Linked DNA regions of Oryctolagus cuniculus. The protein of the gene in region 2 purifies or fractionates together with the protein of the main gene of each other region. This does not show direct contact. Links are inferred from orthologs where the notes say so. Each region holds a gene or a part of one and is shown on either strand. Other genes may lie near its edges. The genes, in order: BTRC, HNRNPU and HNRNPA1.

Region 1 (6,928 bases), on a different chromosome or scaffold from region 2:
CACAGAAGCAGCTCCTGTCTCCTGGCTTTGGCCTGGCCCAGCTCTGCCATTGTGGCCATTTGAGGAGTGAGCCAGTGAGTAGAAGATACTTTCTCTCTCTCTCTCTCTCTCTCTCTCTCCTTTTCTATCTCTGCCTTTCAAATAAATAAATAAATAAGTCTTTAAAAAAAAATCACAAGAAATAAAACCAAACACAGTGGCAGAGTGGAAGCTAAATCTTAGTGATCCAAAGCTTTAGTACAAAACTACAGGGGCCAGTGCTGTGGCGTGGTGGGTAAAGCCTCTACCTGCAATCCTGGAATCCCATATGGGTACCAGTTTGAGTCCCTGCTGCTCCACTTCCGATCCAGCTCCCTGTTAATGTGCCTGGGAAAGCAGTGGAGGATGGCCCAAGTGCACCCATGTGGCAAACCCAGAGGAAGTTCTTGGCTCTGGACTGGCCCAGATGTAGCCACTGTGGCCACTTGGGGAGTGAACCAGCAGATGGAAGACCTCTCTCCCTCTTTCTCTGTAACTCTGGTTTCCAAATAAATAAATAAATCTCTAAAAACAAAACAAAACCCTGTATCTGTTTATTCATTTCTGGTTAGAAGAAGTGGGAGACACTTTCACAGACAGCACATGGGGCAGGGTATAACCAGAAAGGCTTTGTCAATGCAGCAGGCTTGCTAAGACCACTTCAGAGAAGAAATTGAGAAGCCGATCACAGATTATTTTTAAAAAGTAAAGGAGGAAAACTAACAGGGAAAAAAGGCAACATGTAGAAACGGAAGTAGCAACAAGAAGGTCAGGCGAGTACTGGAGGTCTTAACAGGGTGAACAAGCATTTGCAACTTCATGGGGCCTAATCAAGAAGACAAATATGGTCAAAGACAAAGAAGAAACCAGGCAGGCATGGGTTTCTGTGAAGAGACAGGAAAGAGTGGCAATTGGTGCTGAACCCTGGATAATTTTTAGCTAGACTATCACACACTTTTTTCAAAGGCCAAACGTCATCTTTCCAGTGATACTAGTTTTGCGTTCTCTGTAACTACTGTCGATTTCGGCTTAGTGCCAGCCCTAAGCAAAACTGGGGAGCCTGCTTTTACTTCTGGCATTTTCACAGCCATCTGCTAAGACTGCCCATTTCCTGTTCTCCCTGCCTGCAAAAGGAGACTTCATAAACTCTCAATGTCTACTGAAAGCTCACTGTCATTTACTGTTCAAATAGGAACAAAATGTATTTTAACAGGGAACAAAACCTTTATACCCCAGGGGATGAACCTCTGTAACTGAATTCCAGGTCAGTAGTTAATGGGAAGACAGTTTTTTGTGATGTTCTGAGGGGCAGAGAAATTTTCCCAGCTGCTCTAGTCTTCCCATGGAAGCAACTGCTTGCTGTATTTCTTTCTTTTTTTTTCTTTCTTTCTTTTTTTTTTTTTTTTTTTTTGACAGGCAGAGTGGACAGTGAGAGAGAGAGAGAGACAGAGAGAAAGGTCTTCCTTTTGCCGTTGGTTCACCCTCCAATGGCCACCGCGGCTAGTGCGCTGTGGCCGGCGCACCGTGCTGATCCGATGGCAGGAGCCAGGTACTTATCCTGGTCTCCCATGGGGTGCAGGGCCCAAGCACTTGGGCCATCCTCCACTGCACTCCCGGGCCACAGCAAAGAGCTGGCCTGGAAGAGGGGTAACCGGGACAGAATCCGGCACCCCGACTAGGACTAGAACCCGGTGTGCCGGCGCCGCAGGCGGAGGATTAGCCTAGTGAGCCGCAGCGCCGGCCCTTGCTGTATTTCTAAGGCTAGTGCAGGTACTTAAGCAAAATGGACTCTGAATGTCACCTAACTGTATACTTCGTTTCTTTATTATACACATTAAGAGTTTATTTTCTGGACCTAACTATATACTTAGTTTCTTTGTTATACATGTAAAGCATTTATTTTCTGTACCTAACTGTATACTTAGTTTCTTTGTTATACACCTTAAGAGTTTATTTTCTGGAAGGGTGTTGTGGTACAGACAGTTAAGCCACAGCTTGTGATACTGGCATTCCATATCAGAGTGCTAGGTGATCCAGCTGAAAAGCCCATGAGAGTATTTCAGGCATGGAAAGCCAAGAAACTCTGGCAAAAAAAAAAGACCTAAATGAAGGATCTCCGCGAGTGAGATCCCAGTGGAAAGACCTGACTATTATTCTTCTGATCCAGCTTTCTACTAATGTTCCTGAGAGGCAGCGGATGATGGCCCAAGAACCTGGGTTCTCTATGAGGGAGATCTAGATGGGAGTTCTGGGCTCCTGGCTTCAGCCTGGCCCAGCCCTAGCTGTTGCAGACATTCAGGAAGTGAACTTGAGGACAGAAGATCCCCTCCCCTCACTCTTGGTCACTCCGTCTCTCAAATAAATTTAAAAAAAGATTATTTATTTTAAAGTTCAAATTACAGAGAAAGATGGGGGGAGTGGGAGGCGGGGAGAGAGAGGTCTTCCATCCGCTGGTTCACTCCCCAGATGGCCACAATGGTAGGGCTGAGCCAAGCTGAAGCCAGGATCCCAGAACTCCCATCTGGATCTCCCTCTTGGTTGGCAAGAACCCAGGTTCTTGGGCCATCATCTGCTGTCTGCCAGGAGCATTCTCCGGTCTCCCACATGAGTGGCAGGGGCCCAACCACTTGGGCCATCTTCTGCTGCTTTTCCCAGGCCATTAGCAGGGAGCTGGATTGGAAATGGTGCAGCCAGGATACAAATCTGCACCCATATGAGATGACGGTGTCACAGATGGCAGCGTCACCCGCTATGCCACAATGCCACATCTTTTTTATACAATTATTACATAGACAAAGATCTCTTTGGTGTTTCATTCCCTTCATTGAGAGGAAAAATTTTTAAGTCTTTTTAATTGCTAGAATGATTGAAATCTCTGAAGCAGTTGGTATATACACACACACACACACACACACACACACACACATATATATATATCACGTGTTAATGAATTTCAAAGACAGAAAAAAAGGGGGATAGTTAGATTTTGGTGAAAATTCTAATCCAAAGCGCGTATTTTAAAAAGTATTCTCCATTCTTAACTGTTTTAGATCTCTTTATGATCCAGATAAACAACTTAAAAATTAAGTTGGAAGGGCAAAAATGAATATGCATATACCTATTATCAGTCTTTCTATCAGCTAAAACATTTATTATGTCACCTTTCTTAATGAATGACTCATGCTTGACTTCATATAGTACCATTCTAGAAACATACTTAGGAAGAAAATTATATAAAGAAAGAGGTTACCAGAAGTTCTAATGAATGGTTAAGAGAACAACAACAAAACTGGTGAAATCTCTTAGGCTCTAACTACATGAGGGTACTTCAAAGTTTACAGAAAACAGAATTAAAGTTAAGTGTATCTTGGTAAAAATTTTTTTTAGATCCATGCATATGAGTATAATAACCTTAGTGAATTCAAAATGAAGTAAGAAATCACGAGAAAACCCAAATCTTAAGAAGAAATAATGATTTATACTAATTTTTTTATTCTTTCTGACAGCTAGAGTTCTTATTTTAGTTGGACATAAAATATACTCTTTTGTTACAAAGGTAAAAAAAATGGAGGAATGGGCTAAAGGCAAGAAATCTGAAAAAACAAAATGCTCACTTGTCCTGGGTTTTTACAGAGGAAAGCTTGATCTGATGGCTTCCATGTGATTCAAACTCATTTGCTTGCCTTATAAATTACTTATCAGCCCTTCTGCAAGATACTAATTTCTGCCTAGAGAAACAGGATGGCTGGTCAGTGTTCTATTATTTTTTGCCAAGCAATATTAACACATTGTGATGTCATTTTATGAGTGACGGGTCAGAAGAAAAACCGCTGAGTGCATGAGCAACTATTTTCTATTTTTAGCTGCAAATCAGTAAAATCACTGTAGTAAGTGGTAAGTGATTGGTTCACTGTTCCCAACAACCTTCCAGTGGCAAGACGGCTGGGCCCTAACACTCTCTGATTGTTAAGCAAGTTAAAAGGCTCACCACCCTCTTCGTTCTGCCAGGCCTCTCCACAGAGAATCTGTCCTGACCATTCTCTCGATGAGTTTCTTCCATAACATGCCATCAGACGTCACTCGGTACCATTCCTTGCACACAAGTTCAGCAGCACATAACGATTTGGCATCCAGGTATGACAGAATGTTCTCAGCAATATGATCCAAACCCCGTGCTTTCAGTGGGGAGGGGAGAAGGCAAAGAGAAAGAATAAAGGGGATAGTGAATGATTTTTCACAAAAGGTCCTTTAAAACAGAATAGCATTTGTTCTATTATGAAGGCATATCATTGTCCCCAGCGTAGTCCAGTTGCTCTTTCAAACAGAGGCTTGGGTAAAATGAGTGTCAATAATTTTTCCATAAGGTTACAGAAATGAACAGTATTTTCCATCTTCCTTTAGATAAGGAAGTTAAAGCTAACAACCAGCAACCCCTCCAAGACATTAAAAATAAAAAGGATTCCAGAAAACAATTCACATCTATCTATATGGATTTCAGCACTAGGGGATGTTCTGTGGATGGCATCTCAAACTCTGATTCAGACCCCCCCAAATCTCTATATTAGGTCCATTTCTCATTCTGTTTCTATTACTGCTGCAATTCCAAAGCTATTCAGTAGAAGAAATATCCTTTAAATGTACTGGGGGAGAAACACTAAGGCAGAATGTGCTGGGTTATAGAATTTGGGGCATGCAGAAAGGAGGAGAAGAAGGAAATACAGAATGGTATAGGAATACCCCAAGAGGAAAGAAAGTGAGGTATGCTTCATTTCAGATGTTTCAAAAAAGAAAAAAAAAAAAAAAAAGCTGTGTGAGAATAGCTGCTGCTATAAAACCTAAATGACAGTTGACCAAAAGTGGAAAAAAAAATCCAGACCAATAGACAACTTGGTAAGCATCTCAGAGGATATTCTGCAGGATGTGCAGAGGAAAAGAGTAAAGAGTAGATCTTGGCTTGGGTAAACCTGACAGCCACTCAAATCTGCACTGGGGTCCCAGTGGAAAAGCTCCTACACGACAGGATGATCGCACTAAAAAAATCTTTGGGCTTCTGTTCTAAGTTCAAAAACGAGTCAAAAACAATGAAGGCTATTTCTCTTTACAGGTTATATATTACAAAGACTTAAATAGTTCAGAAGGATTCCATTATGCCCTGACTCCAGTAGACATAAATTTAACAAACAGGAGAGCACCACATTTCATTTTTGTGCCTTTCCCCAAATTATACAGACACACTTTGATGTGATTAGCAACAATCCAACTATGCTTAAACATTTTTCTAATTATAAAGATTGTATGGATATCAGTCACATCTTCTAGCAGACTTGGGAAAGAAGGCATTAAACGGATCTTGTTTGGCTGGCATCACATGTTCATATTTAAGCATAAGCAGATGGAGGCATCCATCACCTAATTCTTATTAAAGAAACATGATGATAAGCCAATTACAGACACAGGACTTATAAAATACATCATGTAAAATCCAGTGATGGCACAATTCCTGAATCTTTACACTGGAAGTGTCTCCGCCGTCACAAGTTGCCAAAACACCTTCCTGTGTTTTAGTAGCTGACATCAAGTTGCTCCTGATCACTTACTACGTACCCATAAGTCTTGGGAAGTAATTTCACCAAACACTCCAAACAAAACCATTACATTAATGGATTAGAGGCATTTCTGAAGTAGATGGTTTACTAAACGTAGCCAGATGGTGTAGGTTTCTAAGTTTAAATGTCCATAAAGCATTAAACTGATGATTTAATACCTCACCGAGTGGTCAGCAGACACATTGTGGGGATCAGTATGGAACAAAGAATACGCAGGTCTCATCAACTCCTGTTCAATTCTTAGTAGTGTAAGCTTGAGATAGTAGTATGTCTCAGTGACTGGGGAAAACACAGTAATGAGGTACACACAGACTGTACAAAGAAAACTACTCGCCTGTGGCTAAAACAAAAGCCAGTGAGTGAAGAGGGGGCAAAAATCTATTTAATAAAAGATACAGATAAAATTCGGCTTTAAGAAGTGGCTATTTTCTGGGGAGCCAGTGCTGTGGAGTAGCGGGTAAAGCCGCCTCCTGCAGTGCCAGCACCCCATATGGTGCCGGTTCGAGTCCTGGCTGCTCCTCTTCCGATCCAGTTCTCTACTATGGCCTGGGAAAGCAGTGGAGGATGGCACAAGTGCAAAACATTTTTTTTTTTTTAAGATCTACGAGGGTTCAGGAGCCCAAGCACCTGAGCAATGTTCCACTGCTTTCCGGCCATAGCAGAAAGTTGGATTGGAAGTGGAGCAGCTGGGACTTGAACCAGCATCCAATTGGGATGCCGGCACTGCAGGCAGCGACTTTACCTGCTACACCACAGTGCCAGCCCTTTTGGAAGACTTAATAGTAGTTCTCTCTGAATGGCGGGATTCTGGGACATGTTATTTTTATAGTTTATATTCTTATTTTTACAGTTTATACTCTTTTTTTTTTTTTTTGGACAGGCAGAGTTAGACAGTGAGAGAGAGAGACAGAGAGAAAGGTCTTCCTTTGCCGTTGGTTCACCCCCTAAATGGCTGCTACGGCCCGTACGCTGCCCTGATCGGAAGCCAAGAGTCAGGTGCTTCCTCCTGGTCTCCCATGCGGGTGCAGGGCCCAAGCACTTGGGCCAACCTCCACTGCCTTCCCGGGCCACAGCAGAGAGCTGGACTGGAAGAGGAGCAACTGGGACAGAATCCGGCGCCCCGACCGGGACTAGAACCCGGGGTGCCGGTGCCGCAGGCGGAGAATTAGCCAAGTGAGTCGTGGAGCCGGCCAATAGTTTATACTCTTTAACACATAAGAGAATCTTTTATTTTCCTACAAAAACTTTCCCTCCAAATACTGGTAACTTTGTAGTGTTCTAGAATACCAGTAAGCATTAAGAAA
Region 2 (7,028 bases):
CCCTCTAACTCTACCTTTCCAAAAAATAAATCAGTCTTTAGAAAAAAAAGTATGCTGCTCAAGCCATTAGTCATAACTCAAACAACCATAAAGGAACAAAAGCAAATTTAGACTCTGCCTACTGTTACTATTCTCTAAAACAGAATGAAAATAACAAGAAAAGGTTTTGAATGCCTGCAGATAGTTAATGAAATCAGACATTCATGAACTTGCAGTACTCAATGTAAACTTTACCTAGCAACATTCCACTTGTGGTTAGCGACCAGCCAATCCGAACTTCATGTATGTCTATATCTTTTGTATATAAATGCCTTACAGGTATCTTCTCTGTAACCTGAAAGTTAAGTCATTATATCATTAACTGTAAACCAAGGTAGGTAGGTTATTTATGTGCCTGGTTTATCTCACTTGGGCTATGGGTACCTAAAATTCTTCTCTAGCTATTTATACAAAGACAGGACACCCAACTCTACCCCACTCCCAGTATTTTCCAATTGATGTAAGGGCTTATAACTTAAAATTAAATACTTGGTTGATTTAGATTTTTAGAACAATATTTTTAAATTACATTCTCAATTGATGTTTTTCTCATAAAACCAACACTCTAACCAAAAGAAATTTTAACTCTTTGGTGGCCCTTTTCAAGGGCCTCATATAATGGAGTGCCCTAAATAATGTATGGGCTGGCTCTATAGGGCAAATTCTGATAAATAAACTTGCTTCACTATTACAAAATGAAGGTTCCAGAAACCTCACAACATTGCATTTACCTTCATCTCAAAACAGACTTTGCCTTTTGACACACCATAAGATGCCCTTCCTCCAGCCCAAAGAAAGGCAAAGCTCTCCATAGTAAGCGAAGAAGCACTGAGGCGATCTCTTGATATTTTAAAATGTAGATCACAATTATCTGCAATTATATTAAATACCATATTATTCTTTTGACATCCAATGGAAATCTATTTGCTATGTAGACAAAACTTGGATGTTAAATTTTTTTCATGTACTTCTTAATGCTGCAGAAAACAGTTTTTAACACCATGCTGTTTTCCCAATTTTCCGTGTAAGCCCCACTCCCACCATTCTTATCAAATTAAGTACTAAAGAGTAAACTGCCTATAAACTAAGGCTTAATGTCTTTAAGAATATAAAACAAGACATGTGACATGGATACATACCTGCTCTGCTCTTTACCTTGATTTAGAGGCACGCAGTAGAGGATAGCAGGAAATCAAAGTGAAGCATGCCAGAACCAGGTAGAATTTACCAGTGCCACAATAAAACTGAAGGGAGGCCACGGCCAAATATTTGAACATAGGAGTATGAGCTGTTGATCCCGTACTTTAACACTAGGCTCCTAAGTCCTAAATTATTTTCTAAATCTTAGGAATAAGGCAAGGCAGCCTCAACTTGGAATATACAAATCTGGTCTTCTAACACTGTCAATATTACAGCATTTTGGTCTTGTGTATTTGTGTATTAGCAACAATTAAGGATTAAGCTCTTAATCAGGTCATCCAAATCCAAAGCATCTTTAATCTAGCTACCTCTGGGTCACGTGAGGGACAGCTAAAGTCAAGGTAGAAAGCTGGCTCTTTTCCTTTTTACAGGACAGGAAACCTACAGTTCGGAACTTTTAAATTAGCTTTGCTCCTGAAATTCCTGATCACTGATAGAACTATGATTTCAAGAAGCTGTTGTTGCTCCTGTAATCAGTGCTTCAGCATCTTGGTAACTGCTAGTAACTTGAAGCAACTGATTTTGACATCAAAATTTCAAGCCACCTTTTCCATATGCATTTTTTTCCCAAAGACTCAACTCTTAACTACCTGTACAGGGTATTCAAGTAAGAAATCAGAGGTATCACCATTTATCACCTGAATCAACAATCTGTACAAGGAAGCATCCGAATCTAACTTCCGCCTTACCAGAGCAACTTGACATTTTAACTTTTCAAGTACGATTTCTACTCTTGGTTCTATTTCACACTGGAAAGACTGGTGCATCCTATTCTGATCAAACGCTAACCCAACGTAATTTAAGTAAAATCTGACAGCCACGGCCCATTTAAAGGTTTGCAATAATTCCGCATACTCGATTGCAACCCAACTGGGTAACGTAGTATTTACAGTGCTGCCATTGATACCATTCGCTGCTGAAGAAAGCTAGTGGCCCAGTGATGGCCCACTGCTGCTGCCCCAGGTCTTTGGAAGAAATCAACTTATGTTAAAGCAGCAGCTACTGAACTGGAATTGAGAACAAAAGAGCAGTTATTGAAATAGTATTACAGTCTTTTAGAATAGGGAATATACTTGAGTGCTAATGGGAAAAGTCATCAGTTAAGTATTTAACCAGCCCAAGTAGCTGACTTAACAATCCCAAAATAAAAGGAAATTACTGTAGGACACGTTAACAGTTTCCATTAGCTAACTAGTCCAAAATTGGCATCAATTTCACATTCAAGAATAAGAAGCTTTAAATTACAATTAAAATTGCCAAAGCCTGTAAAATCAATTCAACACAACTGATGGCATATTAATATTAAACTACTGCACTCTGGGTATCAATCATTATCTTTGCTTTTTAGAAAACTGTACATGTTTTCTGCACTTAGGTTAAACGTACTGCAATCTAACATTGTCAAAAAAACCCAAGGCATTTGAGGACTGCGTGGGGGAGCGGGTGAAACAGCTTCACTTACAAGTATCAAGACAAACCACTGTGTCATCGAAGTGCTCATCTTCTTCTTCAACGGGGGGCTGAGGAGATTTGGCTCTGAAAGACAGAATGGGCTCCTGATACGTCTCTGCCCACCCACGGAGAACGGGCAACAACAACGCACAATCCGTTAGCATCCTCTACCTGCTGTACTTGTTCTCTTCAATGTACTCAAAATATCCACGGCCATGATCTTCTCGAGGTCTTTTTACACCTCGCTTTTTATCTCCGCCTTTCTGCTCTGTTTTGCCGTCTCCTATAACACACGACACTCTCATAAGTGCTCAAGCCACCCAACACCCCCGCCAAAAGAAAAAAAAGCCGCTTTTATTTCAAGTTGCCTAAAAGCATCGAATTAATGAGTTTTGGGTGAATACTGAACCGCCAGGTCGAATGTGAATTCAAACTATCAGCTTGGAATTGGATTGGAGTTAGTGACGCAGCCTAAAGACGTTACTAATTCGGCCCGTCTACCGGAGGCTTCAAGAAAGCTTAAGCGCAACTGCGCGCCGGAGGCCCCGAGCCCACGTGGATCCCGACGAGCGGTCAGGAGGGGGAGGGGCGCGGGGGCGGCGGCCCCTCCCCCACCCGGGCCCGCGCAGCCCGCGGCCGCATTGTACGGATCTTCCGCCCCGCTCGGCGCGCCGGCTCCTCCCGCCGGAAGTGACGTCACGCCGAGCCCCTGCGCTCCTTGCACAATACCGCGGCGAGGAGCCGCCAAAGCGCGCCCGCCCCGGGACCTCGGGCCTCTCCCCTCCCCCCGCCCTGAGCCATGTGCCCGCACCGCGCGCACACACAGCGCGGCGGCGCCACCGCGGGCCGACGGGGCTCCTCCCCCCCTCCCGCGGCAGCTGCAGCTCCCCCGCCCCCACCCCCGCCCCGGCTCCCGAGCCACATAATGGAGGCGCTGCCACCGCCGTCACACACGCACACGCACACACACACCCCGAGCCCCAGGCCTCTCGGCTAATCTGGGATTCCCCGCACCCCTCCCTCCCCCCACCGCCGCCCACCCAGCCACCAGCGGGGGGCTCCGGCAGGCCGGGGGCCCGGTCCCCACCCCACGCGGGCCTCCCGCCGCGCGCAACGTACAACGCAGCACTCACCCGCCGCCGGAGCCCCGGGGCGACCGCCTCCTCCGCCGCCTTCCGCCTTCTTCTTACCTCCCGCCTGCTGCTGGCCCTGCCTCGCCCCGGGCGGCGCCACCGTCACCGCGAACAGCGAGGTGGGGCCGCTGCTCTTCCCCGCGGCCTCCTTGGCCGCCCCGCGCTGCTGCGGAGGCTGTTGCTGCGGCGCCGCCGGCGGTTGAGGCTGCTGCTCCCCGTGCCCGTTCTCGTCGCCCGCGCCCTCCTCCTCGTCGCCGAGCTCGTCCTCCCCTTCCTGGAAGCCCTGATCATCGCCGTTCTCGTCTTCCGAGGCGGCCTCCTCCTCCTCCATCGGGCCCGACTCGGCCGCCCCCGCGGCCCCGTTCTCCTCTCCTAGCTCCATCTGGTCGCCATCCAGGGCGGCGATCCCTTCCTCCTCCTCTTCCTCCTCCTCCTCGTCGTCGTCGCCGCCGGCCGCGGCCTCCTGCTCGAGGCCTGCTCCCGAGCGCCCGGCGGAATCCCCGCCCAGGTCTAGGCTGCCGTTCCCGGGCTCCATGGCGGGGCGGCCCCCGGCCTCCTCGTCGTCCAGCGCAGCCTGGAGTCGCTCCATGAGCTCGGCCTTGAGGCCCTTGTCGGAGAGGCGCCGCTTCTTGAGCTCCTCTTTCAGCTCAGACACCTTCAGCTTTTTTACATTAACAGGCGAGGAACTCATGATGAGGGCCCCGATTCGCGGCAGGGAGCTTGGCTCGGACTGGGCTCCGCTCACTCGGCCACTGGTAGCGGCTGCTGCGGCTGCTCCTCGGTCCGGGCGGCGGCTGCGGCTGGAGGTGGGTTCGTGCTGCAGAGAGGACCCGCCTGGTGTCGAACGGCGCCAATTCCTTTCACCGAGTTCGCGAGGGAGACGCGGAGACTCGCCTGGCGCGAGCGAGCACGCAACGTCCTCTCGCAGGGGCGGCGCCGCGCACGTAATATAGCCGCCCCGCCCCCCGCGCTGACGGGCGCGCCGCGCAGCAGGAAGGCGGGAGCGCGCTCGCGCTCGGCCCCGCCCAGCACCGTCCCTGCCTCCCCGCCCCCACGCCGAGGCCCGGGTCGGGAGCGCGGCACAGGCCGCGCAGTGCGCTTCCTATTGGGTGCCGAGCAAATGGAGGAGAAGGAAACCGCCTTTCGGTTTAACCGGCCCGCTGCAAAGTCCACTGGGTTTCTGCCGAGGGAGCTCGTTCTGCTCTTGGCCTCCCAGCCTGGGCGGCTGCTCGGCTTGAAATGCTAGCAGAGCTCAGCTTGGCGTTTTCAGCTCGAACCCCTCCACCTTTTCTTCCATCTTAGTATTGCCGTCCTGGGTGCCCCTCCTGCTATACCGTTTTAAAACGCCTCGGGATTTTATTTCCGCTCTGGCTTGTCTAACCCAGCCTGGCAGTCAGCACACGGAGAGTTGGTTCGTCCCTTCTTCCCCCCCTCTCCCCCCCCACCTCCGGCCTCGTATCTCCTTTCATTTTTCTAAGCCGGCCTGGCGAATGGCCTTTTAAATTCGGGAAGCCTTTCTTTTGTGTCTTCGGCAGCCCCCGGTGCGGGGCCTGGGAAAGCGGCTTCTCCCCTCCTCCGGTCTGCATCCGCAAAGCGCGCTCTTCGCGGCAGCCACACGCATGGCGTCAGTGGCCTTGCAGAGGCCTCTGTGGGGCCTGATGTTTGTCATTCAGGCCCGGGCGTGCGGTGAGGAGGGCGAAGCGCAGCTAGGACCTGCCACCCGTGGATTTTCTCCCTGTCCCCGCGGGGACCCAATGGTGCCCAAACCAAAGGCTCCTGAGATGGAACAGGGCGACAGTCTGGCAGACGGGCCATGAGAGACCTCGCTCTCAAAAAGAAATCCGTGATTGGATCGTGGTTGAAGTTTGAGAGTGGCAATCCGGGGTAGCATCCTAATCCCCCAGCGTCCCCACAGTGCCAGGCCAGCGATCCCCGTGGGAATGAGGAAAGAGACCTGCTGCACAAAAAGACTGCTGTGCTATTGATTTGAAATGTGGAAGTACAGAAATGCAAATCTTGTCCCGTAGGCTGAGGTGATGTAACTGATCCACAAATGTTCGTTTTTAAAAGCTGCTTTTCAACAGTTTTTAAGAAATGTGTCTTACCCTGTATTCAGGCATAAGGTGAAATACTGACATCCGTGAGATTATTTGAGTTGAGATTAATAGTGTGCAGTACTGGTAATCCTCAAATTAACAGAGGGGACTAGGACAGCCCGGAAGTAGAAGCGTCCAAATAGTGTCAGAAATTCACTTGGCCTTTGGCTATGTTGCTGAAGCTTGCCAACAAGCCACAGACGAATTTGAACTCTTCCTTGCTCTCATTCAGAATTGGGAAGAGAGCTGCAGGGGGCTTCGATGTTCTCCAACTGGGTAATTAATGAATCAGAGTTAAGTGCAATTATGTCGATGGTCCTCTAATGTGTATGTGTCCTCAGATTTAATTTATGTTTTTAAATTTTAGTCAGAAGGAAACAATTTCCATTTAACACAGAAAAAACTATGAAAACCAAGCTTATATAAGCATAATAGAGTTTTACATTGTTCTTAGATGATTATTAAACCATTTATATTAATAAATGAATTACTACTTCTGGTACACATGAGAAGTTTCCATGACTTCATCTCCCAGAGCTTTGCAGAGGGTTGAGAGTTGGATGGGTCAGATCACCCCCAGCCTGCTCGTTTTAGAGCTGTGGCATAGCTAAGTCACCTTCTGCAACAGTGGCATCCCACTGGGGTTCTGATTCAAGTCCCACTGTTCCCCTTCTGATCCAGCTCCTTGTTACCCGCCTGGGAAAGCAGAAAGATGGCCCAAGTACTTGTGCCTCTGCACCCACATGGAAGACCCAGATGGGGCTCCTGACTCTTGAATTTGGCCTGGCCCAGCCCTGGTTGTTGCAGCCACTTAGGGGACTGAACCAGCAGATGAAGATCTCTCTCCCTCTCTTTCTCTCTTTCGAATAAATAAATCAATCCTTTAAAAAAAGGAAATGAGACCCTCACTCTCATCCCAGTGCTCCTTTAGACAAAATTTGAAAGAAAAACGGTTGCTCTAAATGCCCAGAAAACCATCATCTCACCATCTGTCCTTTTTACAAACAGCGGAAGTCTCTCGGTCCATATTTCATCACTTGGTTGGGGCAGACGTGGCACAGCAGTTAAGATGCCACTTGGGATGACTGCGCCCCATATCAGAGGAGCT
Region 3 (7,028 bases), on a different chromosome or scaffold from region 2:
GCTGCTAGAACCACCATAGCCACCTAGAACAAGATTGGGCCTTTTAACCTCTCAAGTGCCCACGGCAAAAGCCCTGCTTTCATGTTCAATGGGATGAGACAAGTTCAAACTTAGGAGTGACTATTTAACAGCCTTAGCGAAACCTGACAAGGGCAGCACCATCAGCTATGCACCCAACAAACCAACTCCTTTCCCTTTTACTTGCTCATCTCCCAGTTACATTCATACCATACCTTGATTTCGTGGTTTGGCAAAATATTGGCCGCCACCACCATAGGGGCCAGAGCTTCTGCCTCCAAAATTTCCTCCCTTCATGGGTCCAAAATTTGAAGATTGATTGTTGTAATTGCCAAAATCATTGTAGCCTCCGCTGCCTCCAAAATTGCTTCCTAGGGAACAGAAAGATGGCCTTTGTGTGTTACTTGAGAAGGTGACTGAGAGTACCCAATTCTGCTCAGTGTTCAGAATTAAAGCTTTTATTATCTGCCTGCTTCCTCCCAAACTCAGGTGGCTGCACATCTGCATTTTCATTCTCTGGACAAGGCATTCAGTTGAATAATCCAGAAGTTTTACAAAGCAACCCAGTTCACCGCATTAGAAGTTGAATTTTTCCTAGTGGCAACTAGAGGTGTACTCTCTAGCCTCACAGGCCTTTGTGCATGCATCCAGGCCACTGCCAACGGTCAACGGTCTTGGATGTATCAACTAAGTGCCTGCGGTCCCAAGGAGTTCCACACACTAAACCCTGCCAAGATGCTAACTCACTCACATCACAGACACCACTACCCGCTTAGCATCTACTTATTTGGGAGTGAGGCGGCCCCAGCTTAAAGCTAGGAGGAGGTAGCACAGCAAGCTCATTTCCTTTTAATATACCATGCAGTGTACCACACAATGCTTTAAGAGCTTCCAATCGCAATATGGGCATTAAAATGCTAAAACACTAATCTAGCTATCAGACCAAGTACTTGGATCACTCGATACCTACCACTACCACCGCCAAAGCCGCCTCCGCCGTTGTTATAGCTGTCATAGCTGCCACTCCCGCCATAGCCACTGCCCTGGTTTCCATAACCCTGTCCACCACTTCCATAGCCTCTGCTTCCTCCAGAGTAACCAGGGCCGCCTCCTCCATAACCACCTATAAGAATACAATTCTTCTCAATAAGACAAAAGTATTTAACAATCAAAATCGGTTCAAGTGTAATGGCTAAAGGCCTGCGCAAAGCATGCTTATTATGGGTTCAGTTGAGCTTATCATGCACTAGCAGTTAACAGTTTCTATCATCCTAATCTAGTAACACAAGTTGCCAGAAACATTTTTACCTATGTATTCTTTAAAGACTTACCGTCATTACCAAATCCATTGTAACCATCCCCACTGCCACCATAACCACCTCCACCGCGGCTGCCGCCGAAGCCACCTGGAAGAAAGCAAACACGTGCAGCAGGTTTAGAGCATATGAATTGCGTGGTACGCTCTGGAAGCGCTCCCTGCACTGTGACAACGATTGGCACACCGGAGTAACTTCTGGTTAGTTACAGGCCAGAGCTGCATTTTAGATAAAACTTAACTTCGGAAACGTAGGCCATTTGTTATATGCTACTACAGGTTACAGAAAAAAAAGGGACAAGTCATCTAGGGTCAAGAAACCACAAGCTCTCTAGAGTTAACCTTAGCTAACCATACATACCACGACCACTGAAGTTTCCTCCACGACCAAAGTTGTCATTGCCACCAAAACCACCTCCACGACCACCACCAAAGTTTCCAGAACCACTTCGACCTTGAGAGATAAGTGTTAAACCATACAGATTGGAAAAACTCAAAGTTACCTTAACGTCCGACTAAGCAATAGACATACCTCTCGGGGTGGACGAAGCGCTGGCCATCTCCTGCTTCGACAGGGCCTTCCTCACTTCACAGTTGTGGCCGTTCACAGTGTGGTATTTCTGAACTGAAATTTGATGACAAACAGCCCGGGGTTAGAGTGGAATGCCACGTGCGTTGCAGAAAGCCCGCAAAGTGCCTGGGATCTGATACTCACTGACAATCTTATCCACGGAGTCATGGTCGTCGAAGGTCACAAAAGCAAAGCCCCTCTTCTTGCCACTGCCTCGATCAGTCATGATCTCAATCACCTCGATTTTCCCGTACTGCTCAAAGTAATCTCGGAGGTGATGCTCTTCAGTGTCTTCTTTAATGCCACCCACGAAGATCTTTTTCACAGTGAGGTGGGCACCTGGTCTTTGGGAATCCTACCGAGCCGAGAACCACGAGTTACTCTAAATGGCAAAATCTGTGTCCTTTATCAAGTACTTGAAAGGGTCCAGATGGCTCCCCAATGGCAAGCCTATTACCACAACCGATGGGGGTTTGGGGGCCCACTTACTTCTCTCGACACAGCCCTCTTTGGTTCCACAACTCTTCCATCCACTTTGTGTGGCCTTGCGTTCATGGCCGCATCCACCTCCTCCACGGTGGCGTAGGTGACAAACCCAAAGCCCCTGGAGCGCTTGGTGTTCGGGTCTCTCATTACCTGGAGACAGCGTTAATTTGCTTATTACAAGGCCCGGGCCCGTAGGAGGTTATAGGGCGGTCCTCCTGTTCCCCGCTCCCGCAACTTCCAAAAAGCAGGCCGAAGAGCCACAAACGAGCCATTCCTAACTCAGAACTCAGGCCCCGTTAGGATCTTAAGCCCTCGCACAGAATCTGCAGGAACAGCCGCCGACGCCCCGCCTCCCGGCCCTCCCCAGTCTTACCACGCAGTCCGTGAGCGTGCCCCATTGCTCAAAATGGCTCCTCAGGCTCTCATCGGTCGTCTCAAAGCTCAGCCCTCCGATGAAGAGCTTCCGCAGCTGCTCGGGCTCCTTGGGCGACTGGGCGGGAGAGCAAAATTGGTTTTTCTCTTGTAAATTCGGGCTACCACACGACCCCGTTTCCACGCGGGGGGTGGGGAACACAACTCGGCCCCCACAAAGGCGGCACTTTTTGTTCGCTCCGGTCCAAAGCGGGCCACGTGCTCCCCCTCATCAGGGGAGGCGGCCCGTTGGGGGCTGGGGAGCCTCCAGCGCATGCGCCGCTCCGCTCCCTCCAGACGCACGCGCGCAACAAAAGGTCCGCGCGGGAGGGGGACATCGCCGTGAGGGGCATCAAGGCTTTTTTAAAACCCGCTCGCCGGGACAAAATTGAACCTAAATCGCCATATGGCTAACGATTTTGCCCCGACGCCGACCCCGGAGTGATTATCGAGGGGCTAGCGGCCCGCAACCTCATGGCGACGACGAGGACAAAATGGCGACTTGAACTTTGGGAGGGGTAGGCCTTGGCCGCGACCGAGCAAACTGCCGAAAAGGTTGCTGCGGGCAAAGAAACCGCCCCTACTGGACTCGAAGAGGGAGACGAGGGGGAGAACTACGTTAGAAAAGGGGAGCTCCTCACCTCTGACTTCGACATGACGGCGGTGGGAAGAGAGAACTCGACGATGCTTCCTCGGCGGCGTCCGCAAGCAGAAAGGAGTAAGCCAACGAACGTATCCGCCAGCCTACCTTCGGCCTCGCTTTTTTATCCCGCCTCCTCGCTTTCGACATTGGCAGACTCCACCCCTGCCTCGCTCTGATTGGACATTTGAAATCGCTTCCCTCTACTATTGGTGTATGGCGCCGCACTGCTGCGTACGTCACCGTTAGGGCGTTCTGCGCAGTCTCCACCCCTCGGACCCCATTGGTCCTCGAGCAATCTTATTCTTAGCCAGCCTGATTGGCTAACTGAACAATCATTCATTTTTGAACGTACTTCGCCTGTCTAAACGTTTTTTTTTCATTCTACTAGTCCAAATTATATATCCTATTTGTTTGGTAAAGCATTATTAACACCAAGCAGCAGAAAAGTAGTTAGATGTGACGGTTTTTTTCAACAACCGCCTGTTGAGCGCATGTGTAGTAAAATGGCGATCTTGCGCATGCGCATTATAGAGTTCCGCTCGCCGCTTGAAACACGTGAAATGGCGGGCGGGAGAAGGCGGTTAACCTACGGCGCCTGCGTAGTGGCGGGAGTTGCGCGCTGCTTTGCGCAGGCGTTGTGGGCGGAGAAAGGGTCCGGGCCCAGGATTGGTTGCGCAGGCGCAGGGAAGGATCCGTTTTGGCGGGCGGTTGGCGTTGCGCAGAAGGCAGCAGCAGCGGTGGCTTGTGGTGCGGCCTCAGCACAGAGGAACGGGGCAGACGTTAGGGTGTGTGATCACTCTCGATCCCGGGTAAGTGGCAGAGAGTCTTGTCTACCTGTACAAGGCCTTGGACCGGCTCCAGTTGGGCCCGTTATTGTGTGAAATGAATGGACCGTGGGGTGGGGGGATAGTCAAGGGGCAGCGGTGGGTTGGGCCAACCAATAGAAGAACAGGGGGCGGGATATTCCATCCCTGTAGGTTGTGTGGAGCTGTGCCGCCGAGGCGTTTGACTGGCGCGTGTCTAGGCCAATTGGGTCTACCTCGAGCTGCCGACTGATCGGCCTTTGGGCCATCGGAATGTGGGAGGCGGGTTTTCCCTTCCTGAGCAGCGTCCCGCCGAGCCAATGAGCGCGAAGCGCGCGGTAGGTTGGGCTTCTCCGAGGGGCCGTGGGTTTGACTCCAGCGGGGAAGGCGGGAGTTGGGCCCTCAAGTGGATGGACCAAATCTGGAGCCAGTAGGCGGGCGGCCCAAGGAAGCCTCTCGGACAGGTCGTCCAATAGGCTCTCCAGGACGGGGAGGTCTTCGATTTGGTGGGAAAGGGTGGGGAGGAAGGAGATTCAATGGTCGTGATGGCGTGCGGGGGTGGGTTTTTCCCCCCTACGACTTCTGCGAAGCCCCCCGCCCGGTGCACCTCTTTGGTAGCGGAAGCGTAAATTTGGTCCTGGGTGCTGCAGCTTGGCATCGCTCTCCACGTCGGGGCATCCCAGCATCCACCACATTGAGTTTGGGGGAAACCCGAGCAGGGCTTTCGATTTAGAGAACTTGTTTTAGGAAGACGGACTGAGTGTTAGCGAATGAGAGAAATCACTGTGTACTGTACGGCAAGGCGACCTCAGGATGCCTGTTTCTGCGGACACAAAGGTGTTCGTAGGCCCGCAGAAAAGTTTCAGAATCCTGCCCCTGTCCGGAGTGTGTTGCTTCTGCCGACGCCGGGGCCGAGGCAGGCTGGGTTTCCAATAGACCCGTGTTTAATCTTTACAGGGGTGACGATTTGTGATTAAAATAAAATAAAAAATGAAGTCAGTTTTGTGTGTGCGTTTCTGTTTATCATACTTCTCATCGCCCTTGTCTCTCTTCTCAGCTAGCTGCTCCGTGCTTTTGTCTTGGTCTTTTTCTCTGACTTTCCCTCCTGTACATATCTTTCTTTACACCATTAAAGATCTCCCGTGTCCCTCTTTGTGCTGTTCCTTTGAGGATGTCCCACGGAAGCCGCTGTAGGAGGCGATACGTTAGGGTGTTGGAGACAAAAGACCCATCCATCACCTGGAGTATTCATTGCCTTTTGATTAGATTTCCTTACGAGGGTGTTCTGCATGTAGTCTGTCTTCTGTTGATAATGCTTTCTCTGCTTATTCAGGGATCTTTTGAAAAAAAAGTTTGCATTATATATTGGGTGTGTTAGGGTCTTACTGCTTTATTGTTCACTGACTTAAAGCCAAGGGAGCAATCTTTAAATACTCTAATAAAAGTCAACCACATATGAAGTACACTTGTGATTGGAGACCTCTCCGCACTTGTGCAAATACAAATGATTTTAATGGAGCTTGTGATGAACCGAGCAGAGATTTCCGTGTTCTCCCGTACTTGCAAAAACGGCAAATCTGTGTTTCATACCTGATCATAAACCTATTTGTGGATATGCTGATAGTGCAGTTGCTGAGCTTCTGATAACTAAAGTGAGAGCGGTTGAGGGTATCCTGGATTTATTTAGGTTTAAAAGGAATACAGTCTTAATCTATAACAAGGTTTCTCATCCTCAACACTATGGGCACTTTGAGCCAGATACTTCTCTGTTGGGCAGGGAGTGGGGGCTGTCTTGGGCTCCCTGGCTCTACCTATTAGAAGCCAGCAGCACCCCCCCCCCCCCCCCCGCTGTCCTCACAGCCGCCAGGCGTTGCCAAAGGTCTGAGAGGGGTAAGCATCGGAATCTCAGTTTGAAACAGACCTAAAATGGCTGATGTTAGAGTTAATTATCCTTTCAAAGTCCTCTGTTTTACCAATTCAATAAAAGTGGGATGTATTTAGGGAGGGGCCTTTGCTGAGTGGATTACTAAATCCTATCACTTATCTCTTTCAGACACATAATAGGATCATTGTTCCTTCTGATAAAAGTGATACTTCATTAACATTCTTAATATTTCTTGCAATCTAATTATATGATTGACTGCTTGAATTTGGCTCCCTAAATAATGGCAAAGGTGTTTTTTTTAAGAAGGTAAATTTTGTCTCAGATGCCTGTTAAGGATTTCACCTAACTTTAAATCTCTTTCCTGGCTTTGAGTGACTGTCACTCTGCTTTAGCTATGACCCTCAGGAAGAAATATATTTTATACTGACTTTGTACGTACATGGAAACAAGTTTCACACAGCAAAGGTGCAAACACTCTGGTATTTTCCCACATTCCATGTCCTATTTCATTTTCTCGAGGCAGGTCAGTTTATACTGAACTGCTGTCACAGTGGCTTACAGACCCATGGTTTTGGGCATGGGGTGGGCGGGGAACGACTGCTCTGAATAGGAAACCAAGTCAGGCCACCTGAGGTTGCTCTGAGTGGATTCTTCCAGCACCAGCCACTTGTGTTCACAAGCAGATCAATTGATGACCCTTTATTTGGTGTTTTACTGATGTTTTTCCCTTTGAAAGATTTTAGGAACTGAACTAAGACTTCCTAGTCGACTGCAAGTGAAAATTTTGCATTTTATTGTGAGGGTCTGTTCAGTGGTAATAGGTGCAGTAAACCCTTCTTACTGTTGGTGTAAGTTTAGTGGTTTTTTTTTTTTTTTTTTTTTTTGACAGGCAGAGT

Evidence for each region.
Region 1: the proteins of HNRNPU (region 2) and BTRC purify together in Homo sapiens (affinity purification with mass spectrometry; 6 studies listed by BioGRID and IntAct, with this or other methods). This does not show direct contact. The link is inferred for Oryctolagus cuniculus from reciprocal best matches to the Homo sapiens genes HNRNPU and BTRC.
Region 3: the proteins of HNRNPU (region 2) and HNRNPA1 purify together in Homo sapiens (affinity purification with mass spectrometry; 6 studies listed by BioGRID and IntAct, with this or other methods). This does not show direct contact. The link is inferred for Oryctolagus cuniculus from reciprocal best matches to the Homo sapiens genes HNRNPU and HNRNPA1.

The regions. Positions count from the first base shown.
Region 1 is NC_091446.1:28,390,671-28,397,598, forward strand, and holds part of BTRC (F-box/WD repeat-containing protein 1A), read right to left. Parts: intron 4,194-6,928; coding exon 4,007-4,193; intron 1-4,006. UniProt on the Homo sapiens protein: Substrate recognition component of a SCF (SKP1-CUL1-F-box protein) E3 ubiquitin-protein ligase complex which mediates the ubiquitination and subsequent proteasomal degradation of target proteins. Recognizes and binds to phosphorylated target proteins.
Region 2 is NC_091444.1:64,893,757-64,900,784, forward strand, and holds the start of HNRNPU (heterogeneous nuclear ribonucleoprotein U), read right to left. Parts: upstream 4,780-7,028; 5' UTR 4,516-4,779; coding exon 3,825-4,515; intron 2,975-3,824; coding exon 2,863-2,974; intron 2,776-2,862; coding exon 2,702-2,775; intron 911-2,701; coding exon 771-910; intron 335-770; coding exon 235-334; intron 1-234. UniProt on the Homo sapiens protein: DNA- and RNA-binding protein involved in several cellular processes such as nuclear chromatin organization, telomere-length regulation, transcription, mRNA alternative splicing and stability, Xist-mediated transcriptional silencing and mitotic cell progression.
Region 3 is NC_091442.1:57,213,785-57,220,812, reverse strand, and holds the start of HNRNPA1 (heterogeneous nuclear ribonucleoprotein A1), read right to left. Parts: upstream 3,584-7,028; 5' UTR 3,458-3,583; coding exon 3,443-3,457; intron 2,881-3,442; coding exon 2,764-2,880; intron 2,541-2,763; coding exon 2,394-2,540; intron 2,260-2,393; coding exon 2,049-2,259; intron 1,959-2,048; coding exon 1,866-1,958; intron 1,788-1,865; coding exon 1,695-1,787; intron 1,425-1,694; coding exon 1,350-1,424; intron 1,142-1,349; coding exon 989-1,141; intron 390-988; coding exon 234-389; intron 24-233; coding exon 1-23. Other genes in the region: CBX5 (chromobox protein homolog 5), read left to right, coding at 3,936-4,253. UniProt on the Homo sapiens protein: Involved in the packaging of pre-mRNA into hnRNP particles, transport of poly(A) mRNA from the nucleus to the cytoplasm and modulation of splice site selection.